4 linked regions of the Caenorhabditis elegans genome follow. The protein of the gene in region 2 interacts with the protein of the main gene of each other region in a pairwise test. Each region holds a gene or a part of one and is shown on either strand. Other genes may lie near its edges. The genes, in order: fkh-2, php-3, klf-2 and efl-2.

What was found.
Region 1: the proteins of php-3 (region 2) and fkh-2 interact in a two-hybrid assay, tested with the Caenorhabditis elegans proteins (one large-scale study listed by BioGRID).
Region 3: the proteins of php-3 (region 2) and klf-2 interact in a two-hybrid assay, tested with the Caenorhabditis elegans proteins (one large-scale study listed by BioGRID).
Region 4: the proteins of php-3 (region 2) and efl-2 interact in a two-hybrid assay, tested with the Caenorhabditis elegans proteins (one large-scale study listed by BioGRID).

What each region holds. Positions count from the first base shown.
Region 1 is NC_003284.9:3,739,694-3,743,886, forward strand, and holds fkh-2 (Forkhead box protein fkh-2), read right to left. Parts: upstream 2,631-4,193; 5' UTR 2,562-2,630; coding exon 2,453-2,561; intron 2,049-2,452; exon of another isoform or gene 1,848-2,048; intron 1,698-1,847; exon of another isoform or gene 1,696-1,697; coding exon 1,589-1,695; intron 1,531-1,588; coding exon 1,257-1,530; intron 1,201-1,256; coding exon 878-1,200; 3' UTR 514-877; downstream 1-513. UniProt on the Caenorhabditis elegans protein: Transcription factor. Plays a role in embryogenesis and later development, perhaps acting redundantly with forkhead protein pes-1.
Region 2 is NC_003281.10:12,073,706-12,079,333, forward strand, and holds php-3 (Homeobox protein php-3), read right to left. Parts: upstream 3,852-5,628; 5' UTR 3,798-3,851; coding exon 3,454-3,797; intron 2,229-3,453; coding exon 2,017-2,228; intron 1,965-2,016; coding exon 1,777-1,964; intron 985-1,776; coding exon 901-984; 3' UTR 513-900; downstream 1-512. Other genes in the region: Homeobox protein nob-1, read right to left, coding at 4,398-4,496, 5,551-5,628. UniProt on the Caenorhabditis elegans protein: Probable transcription factor, involved in posterior embryonic patterning, morphogenetic movements of the posterior hypodermis, and cell fate specification. May regulate expression of transcription factor dmd-3.
Region 3 is NC_003283.11:20,683,781-20,689,361, reverse strand, and holds klf-2 (Kruppel-like factor 2), read right to left. Parts: upstream 3,680-5,581; 5' UTR 3,664-3,679; intron 3,633-3,663; 5' UTR 3,546-3,632; intron 2,455-3,545; coding exon 2,266-2,454; intron 2,218-2,265; coding exon 1,797-2,217; intron 1,752-1,796; coding exon 1,692-1,751; intron 822-1,691; coding exon 592-821; 3' UTR 532-591; downstream 1-531. Other genes in the region: F53F8.3 (RING-type domain-containing protein), read left to right, coding at 1-327, 381-526. UniProt on the Caenorhabditis elegans protein: Probable transcription factor which regulates lipid metabolism.
Region 4 is NC_003280.10:13,404,273-13,412,149, reverse strand, and holds efl-2 (Transcription factor efl-2), read right to left. Parts: upstream 6,011-7,877; 5' UTR 5,991-6,010; coding exon 5,698-5,990; intron 4,138-5,697; coding exon 3,988-4,137; intron 3,128-3,987; coding exon 3,034-3,127; intron 2,841-3,033; coding exon 2,558-2,840; coding exon of another isoform or gene 2,523-2,557; exon of another isoform or gene 2,466-2,522; intron 1,127-2,465; coding exon 870-1,126; 3' UTR 255-869; downstream 1-254. Other genes in the region: pinn-4 (Peptidyl-prolyl cis-trans isomerase), read right to left, coding at 7,597-7,707.

The sequences.
Region 1 (4,193 bases), on a different chromosome or scaffold from region 2:
CAACACTGAGTATTTACCACTTTTTTGAAACAAAACAAAATATTTTAAATAAAACTTAGTTTCACTGTGATATTCGGGCATTTTCGCAATTTGCTCCATTTATGACTGAACAGAGCTTTTAAACTATTATATTTTCCTTCTGTGTACTTGTGAAGATTTCTATCGAGATATCAAAAATGTCAAAAAAACATTTTTTTTCATCAAATCTGATTACCGGGAAAGTGTTATTTTCTGCATCACTTTAAAATCACTGTCTGTGAATTTGGATTGTACAAAACTAAATTTGACTTCTCGCACCAAATTAATTTCAAAATCTGAGCTTGAAATTCTCTGTTTGGTCTCAATTTTCAGATCTAATCTTAATAGTTTAAACGGTCGGCGTGGCGAAATAAAAAAAAACGCATCTGCTCGGGGGCGGCATCTCGAATACCATGACCACCGATTTGCACAGCTCCATTGCGTAACCAACACCCGACAAAAATAATCGACGTTTGACGGCAAAAAAGAGTCACATGACTACAAGTGATTTATTATGAAAACATAAAGGTGTTGACAATAATGACGAAAAAATAACAATTGGTGTTACAAGCACGGAATGGGAACAAGTAATAAAGCAAGGAACACAGATCTTTATAAGGTGTTGTGGAGGGAGAAGGATGACAAGCGGAAGAGGGGCATGTATTTATAGTTATAAAAGTTACCGCTAATCAATTTCTTGAAAAAAATATTGCAAGTTGCTACCCGTGAATAGAAATATTGTAAACTTGGTGTAGGTTAATTAGGTCGAAATAAGTTATAAATCAAAAATAGGTACACCGAACTACTAATAGGAGACACATGCTGAGTTAAGAAAACTTGAAGGCCATAAAAAGAAGGATTACTGTAGTTTTGTGAATAAGCTTTGTTGTTGGTTAATGTATAATTGTAAAAGTTCAGGTTGTGCGAAAACTTGAGGCATCGCTGGAATCGGCATCATTTGACGAGGGAGAAAGCCATTTGGAGCAGTCAGATACGGGTGACGAGGGAGGGCTGGCATTCCTGGACTGAAGTATGGGAAGAGGTTTGCAGCGGCTGCTCCGTACTGCTTGTAGGCGTCCATTCTAGCACGCGAGAGAGAGGAAGGGCGACGGCGCAGTTTTCCAGTTGCTCCACCAATGAATACCTCGTCCTCAGCAGTTGCATCGAGCATCCAATAGTTCCCTGAAAATGTATTGGATTAAAATATGAGTTAATTGGAAAACGATTTAGAGTATTACCTTTGCCTGGATCATCAAAGTTTCTTGGAACTTTGACAAAGCACTTGTTGAGGGAGAGGTTGTGGCGGATGGAGTTTTGCCATCCCTGCTTGTTGTCCCGGTAGAATGGGTAATTGGTGACGATGTATTCGTAAATTCCAGCCAATGTGAGACGTTTTTCTGGACTGTCTTTGATGGCCATCATGATCAATGCATTGTAGGAGAATGGTGGCTTGTCGTTCGGAGAGCTTGGAGTTTTCTCTTCTGAGTTGCTGGATGATGGTGACTTGGAATCCTGAATAAGTGGAATACTTCGAAATTGAACGTAGAGAGGGAATTTAATGATTAGTTACCTTGCTCAATGTGCTCTCTGATCGTTCGTCATCAATGCTCTCGTCATGAAGATAATCGGTGGACATGGTGTCAGTAGTGTCGATTGATGTGCTTGGGTCACTGATATCTGAAGATAAAACGATTACGGTAGGCATAAGAAGACCGGAGCATGTGGTGCAACAAAGAGATTATGAGTTTTGACGAGCTGAGGGTTTACAAATCCGCAACAACATGACAGCTGGTCGCCGCGTCTCTACTGACATTTTAGGTGAAGTGTAAACGCTTGGGGAGGTTCGGTTGGGGATTCAAGCGGAGGATTTGATACGAAAAACGAGAACGATGGCAAACATCAATCAACGACGACAACAAGTGCGGTTGGCTGAGGCAAACAGCGGGCGCTACCGTAAGCTTAAAGCACATATGCGCATGTTTAACAGATAATAATAAGAATAATAATAATAACAAGAGCCGCCGCGCTTTTGAATATGGTAATGGAATTGGTGTGAAGAAATGTACAGTACCCTAAAACGTATGCTTTTGATAGAATAAAGTTAGGAATTTAAGAAGAAGTAACTGGAATTTAGGATAGCACATATATTTAGAGCTCTATAATTATCCGAGATTTTGGAAAGCTATATTGTGAAGGCTTAATGTTTCTAAAGTTTGACTTAAAGAATAATCGTATTAATATGAATTTAAGTGTTAAAGTGGAGTTTTTCGATATGCAAGGATATTCTTTTGAAAACCAAAAACAAAATAGTTGTTCCTTGGCTCTAATCTCTAAATGCATACTTTTTCCTAGAAGGTTTGCAAACACGTACACACAAATGTAATAACAGCTTATACTAAGATCTATCTTAAAATTAAATAGAAAACGAACCAACCCGTGGATTCTTGCTTGATGCATGGTTGAGTTGAAATGTGAAGTTGTTCAATCTTGACCGCCTCTTCAACAAGGTCCGGGCACAGATCCAGAATCGAGAATCGAGCCATCAGAATTCGAGTCGTTTTCCTGAGATTTGGAAAGTTGGTATACTGATGCGATTTGGTATGGAAACAATGACACGACAAAGTGATGGGTCCAGTGTGGGTGGGACTAACCACTGCGATCACCCGGCTGGGCGTGGCCTGCACGGTAGAGAGTGTGCGGGGGGACCCAAGATGAAAGAGTGAACCGAATGGTCTCCCAACTACGTAGAAAAGGGTGCAAAAAGTATAGTAAAGCGGTGAAGACTAACGGGGATATCAAAAATGTTTGAGTATGAAGAAAAAACCAAAGAGGCGTTTCCAAGGATGATTATGGTGGAAGTGTTCTATTCTGCATGACTTTTAAATCACTGTCTGTCTGAACAGAAAATTCGAACGTCTAAAAAATGTGCATGATTTTGAAAGTGCAATTCATTAATATGATATTTGATAACTTAAGAACTTAATCTTACATAACTTGATAATTGAGGAATATGAAATTAGACCAAATTAACGAAGGAAGACAAAAAAGTTTTATAATCAAGTATTATGACCCGTCTTCTTCCTATATTTTTTTACAATGACTTCTGATGAATTAATTAGAATTGCTCTTATTTTCTTTATATGTAGACTATTACCAACTTAAGTTGAGTTTCAGTTCGTGCATGAATAAGTAAACTTAAAGAATTAAAGAAAAAGTAGCAACAATGGAGAAATCTACCACTCCTATGGTGTCTAAATGAAACAATATGAATTTTATTTTAAATTTGGAAAGTTTTATATTTTGTTTCCAAAAATCGTTACTCCGTTGTTGCCAAATTTACAACTATGGTTTGTAGTGAAATCTGAGGAAATATTGTTTATTAAAAAATAACAAAAACATTTGCGAGTGGAACTAGCTATTAAAAAAATGTAATTCAAATTCGAAGTTCAAAATAAAAGTAGTTGTAAGAAAAGTAACCTGTCACAACTATTTGAAATAACTAAAATTGAAAAAAGTTTATCTTCTGCGGTAAGCGGATGAGCAACTTTGCAACAAATCGTTTGATTGACACCATTCAGCTGCTCGTCATATTATTGAACTAAGTGACTCCTCAATACTCATTCTTCTAGTGTCTTGTAATCCGGAAGACATATTGAGACTATAATAGCAGGTGGTTTTTAAGAGAGGGATCAATATTGTGAATGCATGGTTTGAAAAGGGTAATTACAATACGATTGTTTTCATGCAGAGGTGAGACACGTATTAATAGAATGGTTGAACATTAGCTACGTAAAATTAAATACAATTTCTACTTTTGCTACATTTTTTATTGAAAATGTTTCGGAGATTCAATTGAGTAATTTACAGCTTTGGCTAACAAAAAATTGTTGAGAAAGTAAATGATTGAAATCTCATAAAATATTTCCAACTGATCAAGGACCAATCCGCTGAAAATATCTCAGACAGCTGGATAATCAGGCGAAAATATTTTTTTGACGAACGCGCTCACACATGAAAAATGAGATCAGGAGTCAATAATTTACATGAAACATTACCAAAAATGAAAAAAAAACAGAGTTTTAACATTTTAAAAGACTTGCAAGTCAAAGCTTTTTTTAAAGCGCCAGTGGTGATCTAAATGCACTTACAACGATTCAGAATGACTGAATATCATG
Region 2 (5,628 bases):
TTCAAAATTTGTGAAAATTCAGGCCCATTTTGCTCAAAATTTGTGAAAATTTAGGCCCATTTTGCTCAAAATTTGTGAATATTTAGGCCCATTTTGTTCAAAATTTGTGAAAATTTAGGTCCACCACGGGGTTCTGGCCTTCCTCATTGAATTTTTCGCGCTCCATTGACAATCGCCTGTCGGACAACGCGTGGAAAAGTGTCGTGTACTCCACACGGACAATTACATTTAGTTTTACAATCGAGCCGCGACGCGACACGCAACGCACCGTAAATCTACCCCAGATGTGGCCGAGCCATAATGGCCTAGTTCGGCAAACTCTTCCATTTCAATTTATGAGGGAAGCCAGAAATCCGTGTAAATGGCGAAACACAATCTAACTTTTGAAAGATTCAAAAAAACTGTTTAAAAAATTTGTTTTTTCAGAAAATCCGATACAAAAAAAAGTTAAAATTAAAAAAAAGATTATTGAGGGAATATATTGAGGAGAGTAAAGTAGTTTGTACCGGTAAATTGAATTTATTAAATGCGGATCAATGGTGGTGATATAATGAAGTAGAACATTTGAGCTAAGGTTGAGAGAGAGAGATGGAAGAAAAAAAAAGAAGTTCAATATTCACCTAAAAGGAAACAGAAAACTTTTCAGGAAACATTTCAAGTTGGTATGGTTTTTGGCAAATTTAGACCCAGGTGGCACGTGGTGTCAGAGTGTCACATGTCGGTTTGATCTACTTAGATCTACAAAAAATGCGGCAGAATTCTCAACTGATTTCGTATGGTTAAGAACGTGCTGACGTCACATTTTTTGGGCGAAAAATTCCCGCATTTTTTGTAGATCAAACCGTAATGGGACAGAAAGGCACCGCGTGAGGTGGGGCAATTACAATAAAGTATTTCGAGTTAATCCAATCCAGGTGGCATCAGCATTCCAGTTGGATCTCCAGATGTTCGTTGCTTTTGCTTCTTATCTTTCATTCGTCGGTTCTGAAAATAATATAAATATTACTGGAAGTCAAAATTCTGAAAATGCGTATTGCACAACATATTTGACGCGCAAAATATCTCATAGCGAAAACTACTCTTTAAATGACTACTGTAGTGTCGACTTACGAGCTCAATTTTCGAAACTAACTTTTTTTTTGAATTGTGACAGCTATCACGTGGAGTCAGAGTGTCCCATTTCGGATTGATCTACGTTGATCTACAAAAAATGCGGCAGAGTTCTCAACTGATTTTACATGGTTAAGAACGTTCAAACGTCACATTTTTAGGGCAAAAAATTCCCGCATTTTTTGTAGATCAAACCGTCATGGGTCAGCCTGGCACCACGTGAGCTATATTAATTTGTTTCTTTTGTTTAATAATAATATTCTATCGATAAATTAATAATCCATTTTAAAACTCGAGCCCGTATTACTGTAGTTTTCGCTACGAGATATTTTGCGCAAAACGCATCCTCGGAATCTAGTGTTTTCTTAGTAATCAATAGATGCAGAATTTCTGATACACGCAGTTATACGATTATTGAATCAAATTGTCCATTTGGAATGAAACATCTTAATAATAAGTAGGGCATCCGTGTAGCCTGCCTGCCTGCCTGGCCTCAAGGCGACCTTCGCCTGCCTATCGCCTCAATCTGCGCTTTTTCATCTATTAATTTTATTTTCATCACATTTGAAATTTGAAAATTCACGTCAAAATGCAAAAAAGAGGCGGTCAGGTTTCAGGCAGGCCCCGAAGCCGCGCCTGCCTACCATGGAAGCCAAAAATACTCACTTGGAACCAAATTTTGACTTGTCGCTCAGTCAAATGCAAGTACTTTGCAAGTTCCCACCGCTTCTGCTTACTGACGTAGGTATTGTACAAAAACTCTTTTTCCAACTCCAATGTCTGCGCTTTCGTATACGGCTTCCTCTTTTTACGCATTGCGTGTGAAGAGGACGTCCATTCTAGTTGACCACCGTCTGAAATAAAAATTTTCAAAAAAACTTCAAAAGCTTAAAAACTTTAACAAACCATTCAAATTTCCATCTAAACTTGGCATTGAGTAGTTTGCAAACGGATATTGTTGTGGATAAGAGTATGGCCAAGAAGATGCAGCAAGACTATTTGAATAGAAATCATTGTACATTGATTGATTAACCATCATATTAAACTCTGTTGGAAATCGACCAGCATTGAATGGGTACATTCCGGCTGCAGCCGCTGCTGGCATTGACATACCACTGCTGAAATTGATTTTATTGGTTTTTGTGTTGAGAACACATACTTGGTGTCACAGTGTCTCATTTCGGCTTGATCTACGTAGATCTACAAAAAATGCGGCAGAGTTCTCAACTGATTTTGCATGGTTAAGAACGTGCTGACGTCACATTTTTTGGGCAAAAAAAATCACGCATTTTTTCTAGATCAAACCGTAATGGGACAGTCTGGCACTACGTGTACTTATTGAATTAAGAATATGAAATTTATAATGTCGGGGTATTTTTTGTATATCTTAAAATTAAAAAAAAACAACTTTCGGCAAATTTTGGCTACTTTTCAAAACAAATCAATAATTTTCGGTAACTATCGGCAATTTTTGGCAATTTTTGGCATTTTTTGAAAACTATCCGCAGCTATCGACCACTTTCGACAAATGTTGACACTGTTTAACAAATTTTCAGAAAGTTCAATAACTTCTGAAAACTATCGGCAACTATCGACAACTGGCAGCCTAAAAGTTGCCGAGCTTCCAATTTTTCGAAAAAATTTCGGCAATTTTTGTGCAATCGGCAAATTGGCAAATTGCCGGTTTGCCAATTTGCCGAGTGGCCGGCTTTTTCGATTTTCAAATTAAATGTAGGAGCATTCATAGAATGCGTAAAATTTTGCCCATTAAAATTGAACTTTTGAAATTTCCAAAAAAAATGTGCAAAACCACAATTTGCCGGTTTGCCGATAGGCCGAAAGTTACAATTTCGCCAATTTGCCGGAATTTTTTGATTCTGACAATTTGCCAATTTGCCGAGTGGCCGGCTTTTTTGATTTTCAAAATAAATGTAGGAGCATTCATAGAATGCGTAAAATTTTGCCCATTAAAATTGAAACTCTGAATTTTCGAAAAAAAAATTGCAAAACCACAATTTGCCGGTTTGCCTATTTGCCTGAAGTTTTCAATTCCGGCAATTTGCCGATTTGCCGGAAATTTTTGATTCCGGCAATTTGCCGATTTGCCGTAAAAAATCGTTTGCCGCCCACCCCTGATTATCAAGGCTATTTATAATTCGAAATTTTTCGGGGCCGGCCGCTGAAGTTGCCGAAAGAAAATTAGGCGTTTAGGAACTTCATGCTTATGGAAATGGGCAAAAATTTGGCTATCTATTGCCGAAGTTGTGGTAATTGTCAAATTTGTATTCTAGTTAAAATTAAAAAGTTTCCACTTGACCGCGATATTTAAAATACTTAACAAACCTCGTTGGGAGTGGTGCAACCTGAGGACTGGAAGCAGTGTCGGATCCTCGTTCCGAATGATTGTCCGCTTGTGTCCTTGATAAATTGTTCGATGCAGAACTGCTGGAACCACTAGAAACACCAGATGATCCAGATACAGATTGCTGCAGTTGTGCAGCTCTTGTCGACCAAAAGTTGTGTTGCATTGCTGCTGCTGCCGCCGAAGACGTTGTTGCAGGAGAATCCGAACGTTTAATGAACGGAGACGTCGGTGATTCATCATGAGTTTCATGAGAATCAGAGCTCTTCACAAATGGGGGTGGCATATTAGAATTGTTCATCATCTGTTGCATCACCGAAATCATTAGGATGATGACGGGAGCTCGCTGATGTTCGGGCGTTGTCTACCGTGAGCAAGCCTGCAAGAAAAGCACTATTTTTGGGGTTTCAGCGGGGAGAGATACTAAAGAAAAGTGGTAAGGTCGGGGGTAAAACGAGGTTGTTAGCGGAAAACAAAAACAGGTTTGGCAAAGACCCAAAAGTGGTGCTTTTCTCTGTGGCATTGCTGGGGGGTAGAGAACGAACATCGGCTCGACGGAGGAGCAAGTAGTACAGGAAGTACAGGATACACTGACAGACATACACGTACAGAGAAAAACGAAACAACTTTATGGGTGCCTTGCCAATTGAAAAAAAAGAGTTATTAAATCATGAAAAAGGAAAAAGAAAGTTGAACTTGAATCGAAAAAAGAGTCAAAGAGGACGACAAACAATAAGGGAAAAAATATAGTGAACGGTGTCTAGGTACCGGTTGGAGAGAACGAAGAATGGGCTAAAAACACAACCCTGTGCAAACGAGATTTGGGACAAAAATTATGAAATTGAGAGAGAAGAGAGCAAATTGAATAATGAATAAGAATCAGAAAAAAATCATTAGTTAGAACACTTTGTGTAAATAGAGAAAATCAGTTGATCAATCGCTCGATGCACGGAGTGACTGGAGCACCGTGGGGGAATGGCCCGGAATGTCGTTGACGCAGTTTCTTGTCCTTCATTCGTCGATTCTGAAACAGTGAAGTTAAGAGAAAGCAAAACAATTCATGCAATGTTAAAATGGTTGGAGTTTAGACAAAACAACATATTTACGGTTTTTGACAATGTTCAGGCGCGGTTTCAGGTTTCTAAAGTTTTCAATTATTTCTCATGGTAGGCAGATGCGGTTTCAAGGCCTGATGCCTGCCTGAAACCTGCTCACCTTTTGCCTCCTTTTTGCACATTTCCATTTTTACGTGAATTCACAAATGTCCAACTTATTTATTTGCACTCTGATAATTAATTACGAATGTTACTTTAGTTCAAAAAAGTGTGGCTACAAAAAGTGGTGCCAGGCTGTCCCATTACGGTGTGATCTACAAAAATGCGGGAATTTCTTCCTAAAAAAAGGTGACGTCAGCACGTTCTTAACCATGTGAAATCAGTTGTGAACTCTGCGCCTCTTATCCCGCATTTTTTGTAGATCAACGTAGATCAATCCGAAATGGGATACTCTGACACCACGTGCTGAAAAGTAATTTTTAACTTTTAAAGTATGGTTATTGATGGATTAGCGCCAGTGAGGAAATTGTTAAAAACTACTCCAGTGGTGCCAAAATGATAGCAAAACTTTTCCAAAAAAATTTTGAAAATTTTGACAAGTTTGACAAGTTTGAAAAGTGACAATTACTCAGTTTTTGAAAGTCATAATTTTGGAAGTCTGCCAAAAAAATTCCTATAAAACATTCTAGAGGTCGGAACAGGTTTAAATATTTGGCATTTTGCCAAAACTTTTCTGGAAATTTTAAAAAATTTTTCAATTTTTTCGAGTTCGTTTTGGCTGGCGCTAAATATTGTATTTTTTCAATTATTAGTGCCCAAACCTTGTAAATGTTCAAAATATTGAAATTTAGTATTTTTCAGATGTTCGTTTTTTGAAAATCCAGAGAAGCTCAAAATTAATTTTTAAAAATGAGGAAATTTGGGAATTTACCAAAATTTCTGGAATTTTTTTCATTAGGACATTAGATAAAAATTCACATTTATGATCTCTAGACTTTCCGCTGAATACTGCCTATAACATACCTGGAACCAGACCTTGACCTGCTTCTCATCAAGCATCAATTGTGCAGAGAGTTCTGATCTCCGCTTATTCGTGAGATA
Region 3 (5,581 bases), on a different chromosome or scaffold from region 2:
CAAGGGTTACCCTGAAAGTCAATACAGAATTCACTATTCAAGAATCACACATGGCACGATTACTGCGAGAAAACATGAGTTTGAAGGAGCAACTTAACGACTTTTCCTTCAAATTGCGATTCAGAGACGATATGTCTCGCGTCGAAGAACAAGTGAAAAAAGAGCAGGGAGTCACAGACGGGTATCGAAGGAGAGTGAACCAATTGACAGAATTTCATGTGAAGAGTCAGGAAGAGCAACGAGGAGAACCGTTCCCATGGAGAACCTGCGAAATTTGTGCTTGCAAGTTTGAGGGAGAAACTATGGATCAGACTCCGCGAGTTTTGGGTTAGTTTTAAATTATTTTTTTCTAAATTCAGTAGAAAACTGAAAATTTTCAGGCTGTGGTCACACGATGTGCATGGGATGTGTTCAAAAAATTGTCGGGCAAGGGTACATCAAATGCCCTTTCTGCCGGATTGTCACAAAAATTGGAACTACGCCACTCAATAATTTGCCAAAGAACTACATTGTTCTTAATATGTGAAAGGATTCAATCTACTGTTTATTCATAATTAAACGTATCATCTCACTCATAATGAAACGAAATCTTCAAATAAAAGTCATGAAATCCTTGAAATCATCCATTCCATCGTCTTGTTCATCCGTTTCATGCCGCTTCATATGTAACTGCAAATGATCACTTCTCGAAAATTTCCTGGAGCATTCTTTGCATGCAAACGGTTTGGCTCCAGTGTGCTTACGGTAATGGCGGGTTAGCTCGTCGGATCGTGCAAATCGCCAAGAGCATCCAGGCCATTCACATGGATACGGCTTTTCACCTAAATGAGAAGATTATTATCGAATAGGTAATACTTTGGCAAGCTGCTGACTAGGGAATGTTCAAAACTCCAAGTGGCCATTTGGTGTGAAACTAACATCATTTGAAAGCTGAGATTTTCAGCTTGAAAAATCTTAATTTCTGCTGCGGATATCAAAAGTTGTTGAAAATTTACGACCGGATCTGTATAAAACTGACTTTGGCTATCCGTTTCTCAAACCTCAAAATTAAAAAAAAGTGCTCAACTAACATAAAAGTTGAAAACTTTACATCTTACCGTTTTAGAAATAAAAAGCAAGCTAATTTCCCAAGAAGCAGTTGCAAATTTATAAATTTTTAGATTTTCGCAGCAAAAAAACATTTTAAAAAGCTTAGCTGACGATCTCAGTGTCAGATCAAATCGCGACTCTGAGTTTCGTCAATCACCAGATAAACCAAAATATAATAGATATTTCAGGCGTTCTTCCTGCAAGCAACTTTCGCATTTTCCACACTTTCCGAAGCATTAGGAATTGGGTAAGTTATTATTTTCCAATTTTCCCGCAACCCTCCTAATTCTTATATCCATAGGCCCACGCACTTAATTGACAGTTTATTGATACTTTACAACTCCTTATTCGATACTTCTAAAAGGGGGATGCCGCGAAGTACCGGACAAGGCCAAATATTGATATGGACTAACATAACATAGCAACAGTAGTTGATTCCTGTGCATTCGTTACAAAAAGTATCTAGTGATTGATGAGAAGCGTGTTTGTCAACGGAAGTATCCCGTTACACAGAACAATGTGCCGACGAGTGCGCGCTGTTCACGACATTGAAGAGGAGGATATGATTAATTATGTATAATGAGGTTCTGTAAGCTACTCACCACTATGAACACGCTCATGAGCTGTTAGATGGGAACTTTTTGTGTAGACCTTGCCGCAACCTGAAAATGAAATTCAAGCTTAAGCTAAACACGCTTGCAACTTACCTTGATAAAAACACTTATGAACTCTTAATCGATCCAAAGTAGCCTTATCCCTCCGTTTACTCGGCACCTTTTTTGGTTTTTCAGTGCTCTGCGGATGATATACTCTTCCACGATCTTTTAAAGGAATCCTGGGATCTTCCTCGTCTTTACCCGACAAATCGCTTGAAAATGAGTAACTGGATACAGACGCTGCAGGCGATGGAACGAATAACTTGGCTTCAAACGGATATGGTGTCGAGCTTCCCGAGTTTTGATGTTCCATTGGAGTCATCGAAGGTTCCATGTGATTGAGGTGAGTTTCGGAATTATTCTGTTGTGGAAAGTCATGGGAAAAATTGAAAGAACTGTGCGGGCCTTGTGGAATATTTTCTTCGAAAGTTTGTTGGACATGGTTATGATGATTGTAGTGCTGCTCGATGACCTCAAAAAATAGAAAATTGAATTTAAAAACTTCAATTAAATACAAAACCTGATTATTAACAGGTCCCGTATGAAAATGATAGTTGTGAACATTGATGACTGGAGCCGCAGCTGCTCCATTATAATGATGATGAGATTGTTGGTGATAATGCTGCTGATGATGTTGGTGATGGGCATTTTGGTATTGAGACTGATGATAGTAACCATTTGAACTAGACGGGACTATGCTAGAGTACATCTGGAAGGAGTTGTAGATGAATAACGATAAATTGAAAATCACCAAAAAAGAGTGAGACTCTGAAACGAATTTTCAAAAATTACATTGTAACAGAAGGTCAAATAAAAATTAGCATAGGCAAATACTAATTCATTTTGTGGTTAAAAAAAGATGTAATGCCTGAACCTAATTGTATGCATAGTTCTAAATTTGTAGTGAAAATCTTAACCATAAGCCAAAGTAAGGCAACTTCTACTAGTAGATAGTACAAATATTCCAACACTACAACAACACCATGTAATACCGTTGTGCATACACACACGCACAAATGTGACGTCTTCATTCTCGTTCAATACATTTCAAGTCATAAAAGTCTTGCGTTCTTCTTTGCCTACTGCTTACTTTTCGATATTTGTTGTGAATTTTCAAAGCGAAAGTTGTAGTTCTTGTGAATATGTTTTTACGTCATATCACAAGTGTATATACAAATAGGGGGAATTAGTAGCAAAATTTTTGGATCTTTTTGATATTTAGAGAATTCACACTCAAACCGAAATATTCAAGAGATAAGAAAGTTAAAGGTGGAGTAGCGCCTGTGAGAATTTTGTCTCACTTATATTAAACCAAAGCGACAAAATATCATGATGCAACACTCCTAAAAATTTTAGGTTTCTCATAATTCCAGGTCAAAGTTTTGGCACATTGCCAAAATATTGAAAAATATGAGCCTTTGAGGAAATTCAATGCAGTGTCGCATGTTCCGACCCCTATAATTTTTTAAAACAAATAATTAAAACAAAATGAAAATATAAAAAATGCAAGAAATTTTTTTCCGACTTCTAAAATTATGAGTGGCAAAGAATGAGCACTTGTCAGTTTTTGACAGTAAATAGAAAAATTTCAAAATTTTTTTGAAAGTTTTATTTTGATATTCGGTCATTTTTGACACCATAGGAGTTGTTTTTAGCATTTTCCCCAATGGCGCTGCTCCATTTTTAAGAACTTTCAAGTTCGAAATTCTGGGAACTAACTACTAACTATAAGGCTCTAACTCTCAATGCACTGAACACGTAGGAACTAACTCACTAAAAACAAAATACCTATGTACTCACCACAAAGAACAAAACAATGTTAATGCTAGATTACAATACGTGCCTTCATTAGTAGAGCATCTATCGTGAAACTAAAGAAAAATGACTAATGTTTCCACAAAAATAAACATCCTAAGCGAATATACACACCTCTTCTGGTCTACAAAAAAGTGAGCTCCCCAGGCTCCAAAAAAGGGGTGTGGTGACACCAGACCGGTCACTCCTATGATAACAAACAGAAAACTTGAGCAAACTTTTCTTTCCCCCCAAGAATAGAAAATACAGAAAACTTGAGCATGTGTAGATGGTGGTCATGATATGTTTGATCTAAAGATTACGACACTTTTGGGCATTTCGAAAAAAAATAAACATGTCAAGAAGACGATGGTCAAGCTAGAAGAAAATTATCCAAGAAGGCGCACATATGCCCTGCAAGTGCCATTTTATGATAGCATGTCAAAACTGATAGGCATGGGCAAACAGTAACCAAAAAACGGGGAGGTTTGTTGTTTCTCTGAGAAAGGGGTGGCAGAAAGGTGTGTGCGCGGAAAATGTGTGGAGGGGAGATGGGTGTCATTAATAGAAGAAGGAAGGGAGTTTTTTGGGAAAAGGACATGTGATAAATAATTTTGTTTTCAAAGTTCAGAAATTTTATAGAAAGAACACAAGGCTTTGTAGTGCTCCAAAGTTATGCCGGTTTTGATCAATAGTACAGTACATCACGGGTGGGTGGCAAACGATTTTTCCGGCAAATGGGCAAATTGCCGGCAAATCAGAAATTCTATTTCTATGAAAATTCTATGAAAATTTCAAAAAAAAAAACGGAAAAAAATTCAAAAAGGCACAGTTTTAAGTGTTTCCGTCTTATAAAAAAAATCCCTCTAAACATTTTTGGCAAATCTGATATCCATCAAATTGGCAAACCGGCAACTTGCCGAAAATGAAAATTCCGACAAATAGGCAAACCGGCATTTTGCCTATTTGCCGGATTTGCGGACAGTCAAGTCACAACCAAGATTTGGTTTTAAATCTGAAAATGACGTGCGGGACTAAAAACAGAAGGGAAATGTAGACGCTAGATTGAAAAAAAAAACTATACATATCCACAAACAGTATCACTTACAGTACTCTAAAATGATACCCCAATGCTGTGTTTATCCAAACGTCCCCCCCCTCCCACCTCCAATTTTAGTACCCTCTTCCCTACCGCCTCGCCTTGCTACAGTCGGGAAGTTATGATTTTACGGGTGCGAACAATCCAGTAAGTGGGTGCGGAAGAGGAGGAAGCAGTGATTACTGTTAAAAGTGCCGACTAGGTATGTAAACGTACTTGAGAATATTGTTTGGACGGGCGGTCTCCTTTTTTTCAACTGCGGCGGGACCATATCAGTTTTATGATTGATTAATGTTTGATATATTGAGATAATGGAAAGGTGTGTTCGACTGGTAAAACTCGCAGTATGGTTTTAACTGAGGCAACTCCAGCAACCTAATTCTTTGTAAAAATTGTAACCGTCAGGATTTTGAGTTTTGACAAAAAAAACTAATAAAAATATTAGAAGATCTCGAAGAGAATTCAGATGTGAGTAAACAAGTATGTACATATGTTCTGAAATATATTTATATATACACATATATATTTACATAGACATACAAATTTAGTGGCAATGTATCTTTTTGTCTGACACTCTACATTTTTGCGTGTTTAAAAGTGCAAGATGAGTCGTAAACAATTTTCATTCGATTTTTGGAATCTGGTTTTTAAAATTGAACAGCAAGTAATAGATCGTAAAAGCAACACAAACCAATAAGGACGTTGCAAATTGACCGGAGATTTCTGAAATTTGTTTTTTTTAAATTTAAATTGTTGATGTACTTACTTGCAATAATATGTCACCAGGACCATAATCAAATTTCCAGTAGTCCCAATTACAAAAACTGTACAATAAATAACGAAAAGGATAATTAGAAGAGGTTCCATTTTTTGAGACAACGGAAGTGAGAAAATACAATAACTACAATCTATTATATAGGTATTTTTTATATCCTCTATAATT
Region 4 (7,877 bases), on a different chromosome or scaffold from region 2:
CTCCTTTCGGACGATCCGAATTTTAAGAAATTTTGGTTTGAAAATTAGCTTATCAAAAATTTGAAAATTTCGTGTACTCCTCTCGGACAAACAAAATTTGCAAAATTCGAACTTTTCTGTTTGTGTTTGTGGGTTTTTGCAATATATATTTTTTTTAATCTAAATTCGATTTTCCTGAAAATGTAATTTAAGAAAGATAGAAAATTGGCTGTGGTAGTAAACCATAAAATTGGAGAAAAAAATCGAAAAAAAAAATCAATAAAATTCGTACATATGTATATGTTTAAATCAAACTTTCGAGAAAAAAAAGGGGAATTTATGAGCCGAAAAAGGTATAGAGAATTAAAAGAAATTAGAAAATTTTCAAAAATAATATTTTAAAACAAAAAACCTGAGATATTCTGGGCGGGGGAGATGTAATAATAATGGAAGAGATAATTCAACCGAGATTCAAAAAAAAGGTACACTGTGACGTCATCAGGGGGGGGGGGGGGGGTTGAAATCGTGATGCAAGCGCGCTCCACGGCCAAAAATTTGAATTCCTCGTGTTTTTATTGAGGTCTCATTTCAGCTTGATCTACGTTGATCTACAAAAAATGCGGGAGAAGAGATACAAGAGAGTTCTCAACTGATTTCGCATGGTTAAGAACGTGCTGACGTCATACTTTTTTACTTTTTGTGCAAAAAATTCCCGCATTTTTTGTAGATCAAACCGTTATGGGACAGCCTGGCTGGCACCACATGGCACAAAAAAAAACGAAAAATGATTGCCGTGGAGCGCGTTTGCAGCGCGATTCCACCAAAATTCTCAATTTTTAACAAAAAGAAAACCTTTTTAAAAATAACACAATTTAAAATAAATTCAAAAATTAATCAGAGAAAAAGTCCATAACACTGACGGGCTCCTCGTCTTCCTGGCCGCTGGCTCCGGCTCCGGCTCCAGTGGCTCTCGACGGTGTCGTAATATTAATATAACCACTTGTCAGATCATCGGAGAAACTCGGCAGAATACACGGATCGATAAGTGACTTGAATGGACTGAAAAAGAGCCCACGGCCTGGAGTTTCTGGTAGATATGGAGCATTTGATTGTGAAGCTGATGTGGATGGAGGGAGCACAAAGGTTTCTGGAAAGAATTTGGAAATTTGGAATTTTTTGCCGAAAAAAAAAAGACCATTTTGTGGGCGGGGCATAGCTAACCACGCCCACAAAATGGTAAGCCCACGTGGTGTCAGGTTGTCCCGTTTCGTTGTGATCTACAAAAAACGCGGGAGAAAAGGTGCAGAGCTCTCAACTGATTTCGCATGCTGACGTCACATTTTTTGGGGAAAAAATTCCCGCATTTTTTGTAGATCAAACCGTGATGGGACAACGTGACACCACGTGTAGGCACCTTTTTTTTTTTTGGGAAATTCCGGCCGATGATTTCTGGAAAGAATTTGGAAAGTTGGAATTTTTTGCCGAAAAAATGATCATTTTGTGGGCGGGGAATAACTAGCCACGCCCACAAAATGGTAAGCCCGCCCCATTTTTTGTGATCTTTTTTTTTTTTTGAAAATTCCGGGCGATTTGGAAATTTTTTCCGAAAAAAAGTTGCCATTTTGTGGGCGGGGCATTAAATGGGAGGAGCTTCACAGACCACGCCTACAAATTGGTAAGTCCGCCCACTTTTCCGTGCCTTTGCGGCAAACTCTGTCTCAAGAAGTTTTTTTTTCGGAAAATGCAAAATTTTCAATCTCAAACCACGCCCACAAAATGGACACTTTCTCGGCGAAATGTTAACGCTCCGCCTCTTTTGTGGGCGTAGCCTCCTACGCTCCGCCCATTTTTCTGTGCCTTCTCGGAAATCATATTTTTTTCAAATTAAAAAAAAAAAAAACTTCGGGCGACTGTTTCTGGAAAGAATTTGAAAAATTTTGCCGAAAAAAAGTTCCCATTTTGTGGGCGGGGCATAAGAGCAAGCCACGCCCACAAAATGGCAAGCCCGCCCCCTATTTTTTGTGACCACTTATTTTCGGAAAATTCCGGGGGGGCAAAAGTTTCTGGAAAAATTTGGAAATTGGAAATGTTTGCCGGAAAATTGCCATCGGACGATCGAAATTTGATTTTTTTAAAATTTTTTCGAAATAAATTGTACTCCTCTCGGACTATCAAATTTTTTTTTCAATTTTTTTCCAAAATAATTGTACTCCTCTCGGAAAATCGAAATTTGATTTTTTTAAATTTTTTTCGAAATAAATTGTACTCCTCTCGGACGATCGAAATTAGATTTTTTTAAATTTTTTTCGAAAAAAATTGTACTCCTCTCGGAAAATCGAAATTTGATTTTTTAAAATGTTTTCGAAATAAATTGTACTCCTCTCGGACAATCGAAATTTTATTATTTTTTTTTCAATTTTTTTTCGAAATAAATTGTACTCCTCTCCGATAATCGAAATTTGATTTTTTTTAAAATTTTTTCGAAATAAATTGTACTCCTCTCGGACAATTGGAATTTTTAAGTCATTTTCCTGCGATTTTTTTCAGATTTTTTCCGAATTCTGTGAATTCCTCGCACCCAAATCCTCGGTATCAATTTCCTCCGGTTCTTCTAATTTGATGTGTTTTGGTGATGATGAGATTGTTGTGGGATCTGTTAGCATTTCAGCTAGGGTTACACGTAATGCTTCAGATGTCTCAAATCTTTTTTGTGATGATAATTTTTTCACATCGTCCTCGTCCTCCTCATCGCCGTACTCTGGCGGATCATTTGTGAAGAGCAACGCGTGAGATTTGACTCCATTCTTATTCCGAACTATCATATCGTGTGAGCCACTGGTGCTCGGGTCTGTTACTTGGATCTGGAAAAATGGCCCGATTTTAAGCCAATATATGGGCGGCGGAGCCTATTATTGATTTTTCTTGTGGATTTTTGGGTTGCAAATTTTCAAAAAGTTGTGGTTTTTTTTTGAGATTTTAGCTAAAAATTAGCTGAAAATTTATGTTCTTAAATTTTTTTCGAAATAAAATTTAAAAATCGCCAAAAAATCGAACCTCAAAGGAGCTGCTCGTATCCAGTTCTGATTTTACGATAATCGATTTTGTGTTCGGCTCGGCGGTTTTTCGAATGTCTTCTTTGCTCACATAACTGAAAATAGTTCTTTTTTTTATTTAAAAAAATGATAAACAATTTTTCTCATTTTATTTGTTAAATATTTCATTTTTTTCCATTTTTTAAAATTATTTTTTTCAGTTTTTCTTTCATTTTTTCCTTATTTTGTCCAAAAATTGGAATTCTCTTTTTTCTTACTTTCTCAGTTGAAACATTTTTTTTTCACTTTTTTTCAATATTAATGTAAAAAATGAAAAAGAATGAAAAAAAGAAAGAAAACACTTTTTTTTTCATTCTTTTTTTCCTTTTTTCTCTTTTTTTTACAATTTTTTTCCTTTTTTCACTTTTTTCATTATTAATGTAAAAAATGAAAAAAGAATGAAAAAAGAAAAAAAACTTTTTTTCCTCTTTTTTTCATTCTTTGTTTCCTTTTTTCTCTTTCTTTTTTCCTCTTTTTTCATTCATTTTTTTCTTTTTTTCACTTTTTTTCATTATTAATGTAAAAAATGAAAAAAGAATGAAAAAAGAAAAAAAAAACTTTTTTTCCTCTTTTTTTCATTCTTTTTTTTCTCTTTTTTCATTTTTCCTTTTTGCATTTTTTTTTTTCATTATTAGTGTAAAAAATGAAAAAAGAATGAAAAAAGGAAAACAACTTTTTTTCCTCTTTTTTTCATTCTTTTTTTCCTTTTTTTTTTCTCTTTTTTCATTTTTCCTTTTTTCACTTTTTTTCATTATTAATGTAAAAAATGAAAAAAACTTTAAAAAAATTTTTTTTTCCTTTTTTTCCTCTTTTTTCATTCTTTTTTTTTCTCTTTTTGTTCATCTTTTTTTCTTCATTTTTCTCTTTTTTTCATTTCTTTTTCAATTTTACTCAAAAATTTTAGAAAAAAACAAACTTATAGGGCCGCTCAATTGGATCCTCAAAATGGAGCTCAATAATCGCTTGAGCATCTCGTATCATCAGTTCGAGCAGCTTTTCCTGTTGGCGGAGCATCTCGACTCGGGCCTCGAGCGCGTTTTGCTCTTCGGAATTGTTGTTGTCTCCACTGGAAAAAATAGGGAAAATCGAAAAAAAAAACATTTTTTTTCATTCGAGAAAGAATGAAAAAAAAATTAAGTAAAAAATGCCTGAAATGAAAAATGAAAAAAAGAGAAAAAAACGATGAAACATTTTTTTTCCTTTTTTTTTCTTTTTTTTTTTCATTTTTTTTTTCCTTTTTTTCTTTTTTTCATTTTTCTTCTTTTTTTTCTTTTTTTCATTTTTCTTCTTTTTTTTCTTTTTTTCATTTTTTTTTCCTTTTTTTCTTTTTTTCTAGTATTTTTTTTTTCATTTTTAGACAAAATTGGAATTTCATGAAAAAAAAACCCGTTTTCAACCAAAAAATTGCAGATTTGTCTATATTTTCAAGTGGAAGTTGAAAATTAAAGCAATTTTCCAACTTTTACCGGGAAACACTTTTTATTAAAACTTCAATCATTTTTACGGAAAATATAGACAATTATGCAATTTTTCCGTTTTTCTCGAAATTTTGACTGGATAACAGTTTTTTTTTTGAGAAATTCCTCTGGAAAATCAGAAAATCAGGAAAAAATTGGCTGAAATTGTGATTTTTAGCCAAAATTTCGGGAAAAATCGGAAAAATATCAGTTTTTGAGCCAAAAATTGCAGATTTGCGCATATTTTCTTTCAATATCATCGAATTTTAGTGGAAAATTGGAACTTTGCTTTAATTTTCAATTTCCACCTAAAAAATTCGGAAAACCCAGTCAAAATTAGCTGAAACAGTGATTTTCAGTCAAAATGTCGAGAAAAATCAGAAAAGTAGCAGTTTTTCGGTCAAAAATTGAAGACTTCTGAATTTTTGCTCAAAATGATTGAAATTTCATTAAAAACTGCCTGAAAAATCAAATTTCCAGAGAAAATTTGGAAAATTGCTTTCATTTTCAACTTCCACTTGAAAATATAGACAAATCTGCAATTTTTTGGTTGAAAACGGTTTTTTTTCATGAAATTCCAATTTTGTCTAAATGTACGCGATCGTACTCTTTGCCCCGTGACTCACTCGCAATCCTCACATTATTAATGTTGTTTTGTTATCTTTTGCACCATTCAATTATGATTGCATTCCTATCCCCCGTCATTTTTACTTATCTTATTGATTCTCCGCCTACTTCATATTGTATATAAGCCATCACCTATCTGATGGCTCTATCCTTTCATTTAATATCAATAAATGATACAAACCCCAGCCAGCTCTGAACTCGATTACTAAAAATGAAAAAAAAATACTAGAAAAAAAGAAGAAAAAATGAAAAAAAGAAAAAAAGGAAAAAAAAAATGAAAAAAAATGAAAAAAAGAAAAAAAAAGGAAAAAAAATGAAAAAAAAAATGAAAAAAAGGAAAAAAGGAAAAAAAAGAAAAAAAAAGAAAAAAAAATGAAAAAAAAAGGAAAAAAAAAATGTTTCATCGTTTTTTTCTCTTTTTTTTTTCATTTTTCATTTCAGGCATTTTTTACTTAAAATTTTTTTTCATTCTTCCTCGAATGAAAAAAATTTAAGAAATTGAACAAATTTCACTCGGAAAAACCGGGAAAAATCGCACTAACATCCATCGAATATTATTCTTCTCCACCTTCTCCACATAACCGAGCCCCTCGAGCACATTGATGACGTCATAGACGCGTCGTTTCGAGATATTCAACTCTTTGGCCACTTCATTCAAATTGAGCACCTCATTCCTTTGCCGTAGGCTCATGAATCGTTGTGTAATGAGCCCAAGTGATTGCTGACTTCGAAATACTTCTTTGGGACTTCCAGCTGCTGCTGCTGCTCCGTCCTCGTGTTGTTGTTGCTCCGAGCCACCGGGTATTGAGCCCAAGTCTATTGACGAGGGATCCATACTTTGCATAACAGAGATCTGCAGAAAATTGATTTAAAAAAGGAAAAAAAAAGAGAAAAAAAGAGAGCATATTTTCTTTTTCTTTTTTTTTTCATTTTTTTTTCATTTTTTTTTTTCATTTTTTTCTCTTTTTTTTTCTTTTTTTTTTCTTTTTTTCTTCTTTTTTTTTTCTTTTTTTTTCATTTTTTTTTCATTTTTTTTTTCATTTTTTTTTCTTTTTTTTCTCATTTTTTTTTCATTTTTTTCATTTCTTTCCTTTTTCTTCTATTTTTTCTTTCTTTTTTCATTTTTTAAACCATTTTTTGCCCACAAAACGGTTGAGCTCGAGAAAATCACAAATTTTCAATTGAAATCCATGTTCAGAGCGGTTTTCATGCGAAAAACTATAACTTTCTGAGTACAGTGTGCAATAAGCCACGCCCATTTTATGGGCGTGGTCTGGTTGGCTCCGCCTATTTCTTGGCATTTCTAAAATTTTGAAAATGCTCAATTTAACTCATATTTTCAGTGACTTTTTCAAGAAAATAATGTTTTTCTCCGATTCTTAGTTTTGGCCACGCCCCTTTTCTGTGGGCGTGGTATCGTTAGCTCCGCCCATTTTATGATATTTCGAAAATGTTAAAATTTTCTATTTAAATCATATTTCCGGTAGAGTTTTTCACAAAAAAGTTTTTTTTTTTAATTTAATTTTTTGAACTTTTTTTTTCTTAATTTTAACCACGCCCCCTTTGTGTGGGCGCGTTCTGGTTGGCTCCGCCCTTTCTTGGCTTTTCGAAAATTTTGAAAATTCTCAATGTAAATCATATTTTTGGTGGTGTTTTTTTTTTTAAAGAAAAATGATTTTTTTAATTTCGAAAAATTTTCAATTTTTGACCTGACCACGCCCCTTTTCTGTGGGCTTTGTCTTTTAGCTCCGCCCATTTTTTGGCATTTCGAAAAAGTTAAAACTGTTCCATTATTTCCGGTGGTGTTTTTTTACAAAACAAAAAGTTTTTTAAATTCAATTTTTAAAATGTTCTCAATTTCGACCACGCCCCTTTCAGTGGGCGTGTCTTGACTAGCTCCGCCCATTTCTTGGCATTAGTTAAAAATGTATAATGAAAACTAATTTTTTGTGTTGTTGTTAACAGTTAAAAAAAACACTTAAAAAGTATTCAAATGCATTTTTGACCACGCCCCCTTTGTGTGGGCGTGGTCTGGTTGGCTCCGCCCCTTTCTTGGCATTTCGAAAATATTTTTCTTTCAAATTTTAACTGAATTTTCATGTAATTTTAAGAGAAAAAACAATGAATATTTCCCAAAAAATATTAAAATTAATTTTTTTAGCTTTAAACATTTAGGAAAAAAATTTCCGTTAAAAATGACCATTTTATGGGCGTGGCTTAGGTTTTGCTCCGCCCTTTTTCTAGAACTTTTTTAATTTAAAATAAAAGTAAAATTAAACTGGAAAAAGATATAAAAAGCGTTGAAAATTAACGCATAAATGGGCAAAAAATGAGGAAAAATTGGGAAAAAATGAGAAAATATTTATCAAAAAAAAAAAAAAAAAATTTTGCAACAAAAAAGACAAAAAAAAGCGAAATCAACATTTTTTTTTTTGGAATGATTATTTCTTTCCCTCGACCATAATCACATGATAACCGAACTTTGTCTTGACTGGGGGGTCCGTGTAGATTGGCTTGTCGCATGAGCTGTTCGACAGGGCAAATGCGGCGTCCTGAAAATTTTTTTTTGGAAATTTTTGTGGAAAAAATTCTAAAAATTGCCTAGAAATCTGCAATTTTAAGCATTTTTCCGGTGAAAAAATGTGAAAAATTGGTGTATTTTTATTAAAAATATTTTTTTTTTCAATTTTTTGGAAGTTTTGAGATAATTTTCGGATTATCG